Oryctolagus cuniculus: one gene and its partner. The protein of the gene in region 2 purifies or fractionates together with the protein of the main gene of each other region. This does not show direct contact. Links are inferred from orthologs where the notes say so. Each region holds a gene or a part of one and is shown on either strand. Other genes may lie near its edges.

Region 1 (4,246 bases), on a different chromosome or scaffold from region 2:
TCTGCGAGAGACAGCTCTGACACCTTTAACTTGGGGCTCTTGCAGACTGGGAGAGGATTCGCTTCGAAGCTGAACACTGCCTTCCCCGCCAACGAACGTGGAATTATTTGCTCTCCAGCTCACACGCTTTAACTCGAAAATCGAGAATTCCACTGGAAAGCTAGCTTTAAAAACACACACTTTGTTTCAGGCTTGTCCCAAATGGTTTTCATTCAGTTGTCCATGCCAGTTCCCCTGGAGTTGGATCCGTAATACCTCCTTAGTTATTATTAAGTTCAAATTATGCTCGGTACAGCCTATGAACACACAAGTCCCCTGCAGGTGACCAGAGAGGAGTTGTTCGGAGAGCAGGACGCAGCGGTGCCAGTGTCGGCTCTGGTAACGCGCACACACCATCAGCTACCCTCCACCTGCTCGCTTACAAATGCTGGCTGAGGACGCCTCCCTCCCGCGTCCCCCCCACAATCACCAGCTCATCGGTGTCTCTGTTTTGTTTAAAGCTCTGGAGGTTCACACCGAGACGCGGGTTTCACCAACTTCCAGAAGTGGGCGAGCAAACCTCGAACATGCTAATTCACGCGAAGCGCTCCAGCCTGTTTGCTCCCCACACCTCCATCCGGCGCCCGTGCAAGACCTGCCTCCACTCCCGACAGGAACGACTGTGTCCGGGGCCGGTCTGCGCGGCGCCCCTGAGCAGACGGGGAAGGGGAGGCGATGGTCTCAGAGGACCACAGCGCTCCCGAGCTAGGAAGGCGCCCTCGCACAGAGCGAGCGGCTCGAGAGCGTCCCCGCAGCTGCTGCCGGGTGTGCGGGCCGAGGGCGCGGGTGCGGGTCAAGCAGGGGAGACAGCTGGAAGGGCCCCCGGGGGGAACCGGGGCGCCCAAGCCTGGAGGCGGGATGCAGTGGAAGGGGGCGAGGTAGAGAGGCAAGTGCAGAAGGGGCCAGTGCAGCGAGGACAACAGGGCAGGCAAGAGGCAGCGCCCTACGGAAACCTGACGGATTCGCGCCTCGGGGAGTTCCCGAGGGTCCAGTTCTCTCACCAGAAAGCCGCGTTCAGCCCCAGGCACCACAGGGCGCTCCTGGCCGGCCGCTCCCACACCAGGGCTGCCTGCACTCGGCTCAGGAGAGGCTCGTAGGGCCCCAGCACCTCCACCAGGGCCCGTTGCACCGCCTCCACCTGCTGGTCCCGCTCCCAGGAGCCTGACATAGCGCGGCGGCCCCGGAGAGCCGGCCCAGAAGATGGGCCCGGGGCCGCGGCCACCCCCTCTGGCTCCGCCATCTCCCCCCCGGCAGCCACAGCATCCGGGGCCGCGGCCCGACAGTCACAATAACACCGACTGCGCAGACGCGCGCCTTGGCGGCGGAGGCAGGCCTCCGGACCCGCGCGCTTGCGCACAGGCGCCAGCCCGCGCCCGCCGGGAGGCGGGGAGGACGCAGCGTCAGAGCGCGCCGAGCCCGGGCCGGAGCGGCGCACGCGCAGTCTGCTCGGCTGAAGCCAAACGAATAAGGAAGTTCTCATTGGAGCGCAGAAAGTTCGCGGGTGGAGCGGGTGTGCAGCGCCTGCGTCCTGCGGCGAGCGGGCGGACTAGCGGCGGCGTTGCTGGCGGGAGCGGCTGCAACGCCGGTGCCTGAGGAGCGATGCCGAGGGAGATCATCACCTTACAGTTGGGCCAGTGCGGCAATCAGAGTGAGCGACCCTCCGGCCCGTCCGCTCGCCGGGTTGCTGAGGTTCCGTGGGATCCGCCGCCCTTCCCAGAATCGTAATTCTGCGAAAGGCGGGACGTCCCTGACCCAGGGTCCGGTTGCCCTACCCCGAGGGGCCCTCCTTGCCCGGTCGCGAACGTGCAGCCCTTTTCCCCACACACGGGCGAGTCCTCACGCTGACCCCTGTTCCCAGGCGCTCGGTCCCCCAGCTGGCAATCGGAACCTGCCCAGACCCACATATCCTGTTTCTTCCCCCAGTTGGGTTCGAGTTCTGGAAACAGCTGTGCGCCGAGCATGGTATCAGCCCCGAGGGCATCGTGGAGGAGTTCGCCACCGAGGGCACGGACCGCAAGGACGTCTTTTTCTACCAGGTGCCCCCGGCGGCTGGGCCAGGACCCCGGGGGCCTGAAGGGACGGGGCAGGGGCTGGTGCTGGGGAGCCCGCTGGGCACAGGGCCCCGCGGCTGGCTCGGGGAGGGAGGCCCGGCAGGAGCCCGAGTGGGACTGGACTGGGGCCTGGGCCGGCGGTGGCGCCGGCTGACGGGGCCGCCCCTTCCCGGCCTCTCGCTGGCAGGCCGATGATGAGCACTACATCCCGCGGGCCGTGCTGCTGGACCTGGAGCCCCGGGTGATCCACTCCATCCTCAACTCTCCCTACGCCAAGCTCTACAACCCGGAGAACATCTACCTGGCTGAGCACGGAGGAGGAGCTGGCAACAACTGGGCCAGTGGATTCTCCCAGGTCATTTGCTATTCCCTGGCACCACCTACAGCTCCCTACGTGGGGAGAAGCCCTGTGACTTCCCAGAGAGATGGAGAAAGACCAGGGATGTGTGAGCGCTGGAGGGAGAGAGACACAGGCTATGGGGTTAAACGTGTGACACAGGTATCATGAGGAGCAGCCGTAGTCCTACCTGCCAGGCTCTTCCAAGCGCTTTCCATGTGCTTGGTTATGTAAAGCTCCCAGCACCTCCAGAGATGGGCACTACAGGCCCACAGCATGTGATCTGCCTTTCCGGAATCCAGAAAACTCAGAAAGTGCAGGTTTATAACTCACTTAGCAGCAAAAAACATACCTCAGTGGAAACAGGCTATTTTATAGGGTTTTTAAAAAATGTATTTGGGCCGGCGCCACAGCTCAATAGGCTAATCCTTCCCCTGCGGTGCCGGCACCCCATCCGGGTCCCAGTCGGGGCACCGGATTCTGTCCCGGTTGCCCGTCTTCCAGGCCAGCTCTCTGCTGTGGCCCGAGAAGGCAGTGGAGGATGGCCCAGGTCCTTGGGCCCTGCACCCGCATGGGAGACCAGGAGAGGCACCTGGCTCCTGGCTTCGGATCAGTGCGGTGCACCAGCTGCAGCGTGCCAGCCACAGCGGCCATTGGAGGGTGAACCAACGGTAAAGGAAGACCTTTCTCTCTCTCTCCCTCTCTCTCTCACTGTCCACTCTGCCTGTCAAAAAAAAAAAAAAATGTATTTGAAAAGCAGAGTATCATTGAGAGATGGGTAGAGAGAGATCTTCCATCCACTGATTCATTCCCCAAATTGCCCCAACAGCCATAGCTGGGCCAGACGGAAGCTAGGAGCCAGTAGTGGGAGGGAGATACCAAGATCTTTCCTGTGGTTCACTCCCCAGATGGTCACAAACAGCCAGGGCTGGTCCAGGCTGAAGCTAAGAGCCAGGAACTCCACCCTGGTCTCCCGCGTGGTGTCAAGGGCCCAACTGCTTGGGCCCTCATCTGCTTTCCCAGGCACATTAGGAGGAAGCTGGATGGGAAGCAGAGCAGCTGAGACTGCGGGATGCTGGGTCGCAGGCAGAGGCTTGGCCCACAGCACCACAACGCTGGCCCCAGTTCCAAAGACTGTAGATAAGGGCCTGTGGGCCTGTGTTACTCCTTCCATTGTATAGGTCCAGAAAAGGGCAGAGTAACCTGCCCGGAGTCACTTAGCTGCATGGGACAAGAGGTAACGTGTGAACCCAGGTAATCAGAGTGGAGGACTTGTGACCTCCGTGCTGTGTAGCCTCTCGAGGCAGGTAAAAAGGCAGCTGCGCTCCCGAAACAGACTCGGTGGTACCGGAGGGGAACTGAGGATGGCTGCTGTGTGAGCGGTGTTGTCCCTCAGTCCTGTGCACGCTGACCCTCCCCGTGTCTGCACAGGGAGAGAAGATCCACGAGGACATCTTTGACATCATAGACCGGGAGGCGGATGGCAGTGACAGTCTGGAGGTGAGTGTCGCAGGAGAGCCGGTGGGAAGGCTCGGTAGCACCCTGACGAGCCCCTGTTGGGCACAAGACCCACGTGTGTGCCCTCTGCACTGGACAGAAGCCACGGGCCTTCCCGAAGACAAGGCAGAGTCCCCCAAGCTGTAAGGGCACTGGAAGGAAAGGGAGGGCTTGAGAAGATAGGAATCCAAGAAATGATGGGATGGATCAAGTTTGAAATCCTGGACTCCGCCCCTTCTTCACGCAGGGCTTCGTGCTGTGTCACTCCATCGCTGGGGGGACAGGCTCTGGCCTGGGCTCCTACCTCTTGGAACGGCTGAAT
Region 2 (4,003 bases):
CAAAAGGATTTAAAACAGGGATCCTCCCTGGAGTTTCTGGTGATATTTGCATCTTTAATTCTTTGACTTCTCCCATAGCCTGCAGCGAAAACTAAAAAACAAAATCAGAAACATCCGTATCAAAACTATACAGTTTCACAGACAGCGACTATGACAAAATGTACTGAACAATCACATTTCATGGAAAGGATTAACTCCAAACCTAACTCTCTTGGGGCTATCTTATAGCTTACCCTCTCTCCTCCCCACCCCACCCCAAAAAAAGCATTACTTAAACATTTCCTAGAGTGCTCCTCCAATAACCCGGGAAGCCAGACTGCCACCATTCTGCAGCAGAATTAAGCTTAGAGAAGTTAAGAGGCTTCTAAGTAGCAGTCAATCAAATAGGAATGAATTCAGGCCTGCCTTCGAGGCGACTAAACGTTCCAGCAGGGAAAAATATCTTCCCTTCTGCCTACAGCTTCTCATCCATTCCTTCAAGATTCGCCACAGGCCGATACTCCAGCCACTCTGGGCCGAACTCCAGTGCTTTGTGGGCCAGCGAGCAGATGAGGAAGCCAGCGCGCGGGCGCCTTCTTCGCACAGGAGACCTTGGCCAGCCAAGTCCGACTGACGGGGGCCTCTCCGCAAACCTCCCGCTCCCGTCGCCAAGACCCTCCCGAGAGAGACAGCGAGGCCGCACGGCTTCCAGTTCAAAGGGCTCCATCTCCAGAAAAGCCAGCATCCCGCCTCTGCAAGGGCGAAGTGCAGCCGGCTTCCTCGGGTGAGCAGCGGGGAGGACGTGTCACGGCCCCGGGCCCACGCGATCGCTCTGTCTGCGCAACCCCTCTGGGCAAGACCCCACTCCCTCGCTGCTCCCGTCCCCACCCCGGGGCGAGCGGGCAGGCAGGCCTGAAGCCGAGAAAAGCAAGCCCTCCAGTCAAGAAAGGAGGGAAGCAGAGGAAAGAACTTACCCACTGGCGCGTGGGAAAAGGAATCCCTCCACAACATCAACTCCAGGATGCTCCCAAGAGGGGACCAGGCCAGCTCCCACGACAGCCGCAGACTCTTTAACTCCCCGCTTCCGCGCTGTCTTAGGCCAACCAGCGCACGGGGCCTGACGACGACTGGCCAATGGCGTCGCACCGCCGTCCGCGAACCAGCCAATCACATCCAAGCCGCGAGGTAAATTCGAATGGCAACGCCTCGCTCCCCACATTCCGCGCAGAGGAACGAGGCTCCAAATTCAAATCCACGCAGCCGCACGCTGGCGGCGAGCGCGAGGGGCGGAGCCTGCCCGGCGTGAGCGGGCGACGCGCGGTGTGATTGCCCGGGAGAAAAGCAAGGCGCTCCAGTTCCGGGTCGGGCCCGCAGCTGCCTCCCTCGGTCTCTGCCATGGCGAGCAGTAGCGGCTCCGGGGCGGCGGGGGCGGCCGCGGCGGCGAATCTGAACGCAGTGAGGGAGACCATGGACGGTGAGTGTCCCTTGTGGCCTCTTTATCTGGCCGAGGCCCCCAGGCGGAGGACAGCCCGGGGAGGACTTGAGGTCGCCTTCCCGCCCCGACGGGCATCTTGGAAGATCCCGGAAAGCGATTCGCCGGGGCCGCAAGGCTGCTGCTGGTCCTGTCCCTGCAGAGTTGTCTCTCCGCTCCTGGGTCGTTGGTCGCGCGCGGCGTCCCGGCCCCGCACGCCAGTCCGTTGCTCGCGCGCCGCGCCCACTCCGCTTCCCGCGCGCGTCCAGTGTCGGCGGAACGCTTCGGATGGAAGTCTGTGCGGACGTGGGCCGCGTGTGCGTGGCCACCGCCGTGGCCCCTGCCCCTGGCACAGCAGGGACAGGCGCTGTTTAGATATCTGTTATTAGAGTCGCCCCTGTTGCGTGTTGGAGCGGGTGACGCGTGTCCGGATGCGGTGGGCGTCGTCGCGGGCACCCCGAGGCACGTGGCGGCCAAGCCTCCACGTGGGTGGTAGACCAAGTCACCCTGTACCCTCCAATGTCGGCCCTTCGGAGTGAGTTTGGACAAACTGCTGCGACATCTTTAAGCGTGTTCTCACCACTCCGCCTCCCTCCCTCCCCGGGGCATGCAGGAAGCAGGGTTACTGTGATTATTTAAAGACAAAGCAGATAAAGGCATAGCGAGGATCGATTTGGGGGGAGGGGGATTAGATGTCAACCCGGTTGCAGCCTCCTTGCGTGAGAGGATTTGAGTGCTGTTAAATAGTCCTAGGTCCTGTTTGCAGTCTGCCACGGTATTTTCCATCTCTGTTAAAAAGAGACCGCTGTGGAATCCTCACTAGGGAGTGTCAGGCTTCCTACAATGTTTTGTTCACCGGAAGTCCCACTTGCTATCTATCAGTCCCTGCATGTAAGAGTTTCTGATGAAGGCTTCTGACTTTTTGCACTGGCTGCTGCTTTCCTCTTCAAAGACTCACCTAACACTAGTGGAGACTTTGCATTCATTTCTTACTCATCCAGTATCTACTTTGCTGGTTTTCTGAGAATTTTCTTTTATGACACGGCATCCAGCCTATTTTTCCATCCTCATTGATGTGTCATGGCATACCAATTTTATAAATGAATTTAGATTTATGTACATGAGGATTTCTGTATAAGTAATATTATCCTGTATGTTTCCTTGGAAGTCAGTGTTTCTTTTTTTTTTAAAGATTTATTTATTTATTTGAAAGTCAGAGTTAGAGAGAGAGAGAGAGGTCTTCCATGCGATAGTTCACTCCCCAACGCCAATCCGAAGCCAGGAGCCAGGAGCTTCTTCCAGGTCTCCCACGGAGGTGCAGAGGCCCAAGGACTTGGGCCATCTTGTACTGCTTTCCCAGGCCATAGCAGAGAGCTGGATCGAAAGTGGAGCAGCCGGGACTTGAGCCGGCACCCATATGGGATAACCTGTGCCACAGTGCCTGCAGGAGTATTTCCATTTTTAACAGGATGGAGAGGCTGAGGCCTTGGGTCCAGCCTGTCTTCTCTGTTAGCTGTCCTTGAGTTCCTTATTTATATTGCTGTAGGATCCCAAAGGCTTCAGTGTAGTACTACTTTATACTTAATCAGAGAGTGAATTTAAGGAATGCATCATACAGAGCCGAGGTTAGGAGAGTTCACAGTGTATTCACCTCATTTGACCTGCCCTGCAAGGCCCTGTCAGCAGAGTAAATCCAATCCAGTTATTCATTAAGTCTTTCCAATTTTTCACTCATCTCAGATTTGACCACTTGTCTTAATCTCTCCTATCACTAGTCTTTCACCAACATTATAATAACTGGACTTACTTGCCTCAGGTGCTCTGCCATTTTCCAAATCCCGTTACATATTCAGGCAGTTTTTTTTAAATGCTGATCTGATCTTCGTATATTCCCCATTTTATTATTTTCCAGTGACTTCCCTCAATTTTTTTTTTTTTAAGATTTATCTATTTATTTGAAAGTCAGAGTTATACAGAGAGAGGAGAGGCAGAGGCAGAGAGAGAAGTCTTCCATCTGCTGGTTCATTCCCCAGTTGGGCGCAGCGGCCAGAGCTGCGCTGATCTGAAGCCAGGAGCCAGAAGCTTCTTCCGGGTCTCACATACAGGTGCAGGGGCCCGAGGACTTGGGCCATCGCGTACTGCTTTCCCAGGCCACAGTAGAGAACTGGATCAAAAGTAGAGCAGCCAGAACTCGAACTGGTGCCAATATGGGATGCTGGCACGGCAGGCAGCGGTTTTACCTGCTATGCCACAGCGCTGCCCTCCACCCCACCCAATTTCTTTTTTAAAAATAGTTAAAACATTTATTTTTTTATTTGAAAGTCAGAGAGAGAGAGATGGCAGGGCTGGACCAGGCCAGGCCAAAGCCCATAAGCTGGGAATTCCATCTGGGTCTCTGGGTCTCCTGTATGGGAGGCAGAGACCCAAGTACTTGAGCCATCATCTGCTTTCCCTGGCACGTGAACGGGGAGCAGTGGAGAACTCCAGTACGAGAAGCCTTCTTTGCAAAATGCAGCTTAACCTGTGTCAAAACACCAGCCCTGCTAAGATCTT

Evidence for each region. The genes of interacting proteins can lie anywhere in the genome.
Region 1: the proteins of MZT1 (region 2) and tubulin gamma-1 chain purify together in Homo sapiens (affinity purification with mass spectrometry; 4 studies listed by BioGRID and IntAct, counting the BioPlex papers as one, with this or other methods). This does not show direct contact. The link is inferred for Oryctolagus cuniculus from reciprocal best matches to the Homo sapiens genes MZT1 and TUBG1.

What each region holds. Positions count from the first base shown.
Region 1 is NC_091448.1:20,272,718-20,276,963, reverse strand, and holds the start of tubulin gamma-1 chain, read left to right. Parts: upstream 1-1,446; 5' UTR 1,447-1,638; coding exon 1,639-1,687; intron 1,688-1,962; coding exon 1,963-2,075; intron 2,076-2,277; coding exon 2,278-2,445; intron 2,446-3,858; coding exon 3,859-3,927; intron 3,928-4,171; coding exon 4,172-4,246. Other genes in the region: RETREG3 (reticulophagy regulator 3), read right to left, coding at 1,041-1,279. UniProt on the Homo sapiens protein: Tubulin is the major constituent of microtubules, protein filaments consisting of alpha- and beta-tubulin heterodimers. Gamma-tubulin is a key component of the gamma-tubulin ring complex (gTuRC) which mediates microtubule nucleation.
Region 2 is NC_091440.1:40,016,261-40,020,263, forward strand, and holds the start of MZT1 (mitotic-spindle organizing protein 1), read left to right. Parts: upstream 1-1,203; 5' UTR 1,204-1,374; coding exon 1,375-1,453; intron 1,454-4,003. Other genes in the region: BORA (protein aurora borealis), read right to left, coding at 1-91, 958-990. UniProt on the Homo sapiens protein: Required for the recruitment and the assembly of the gamma-tubulin ring complex (gTuRC) at the centrosome.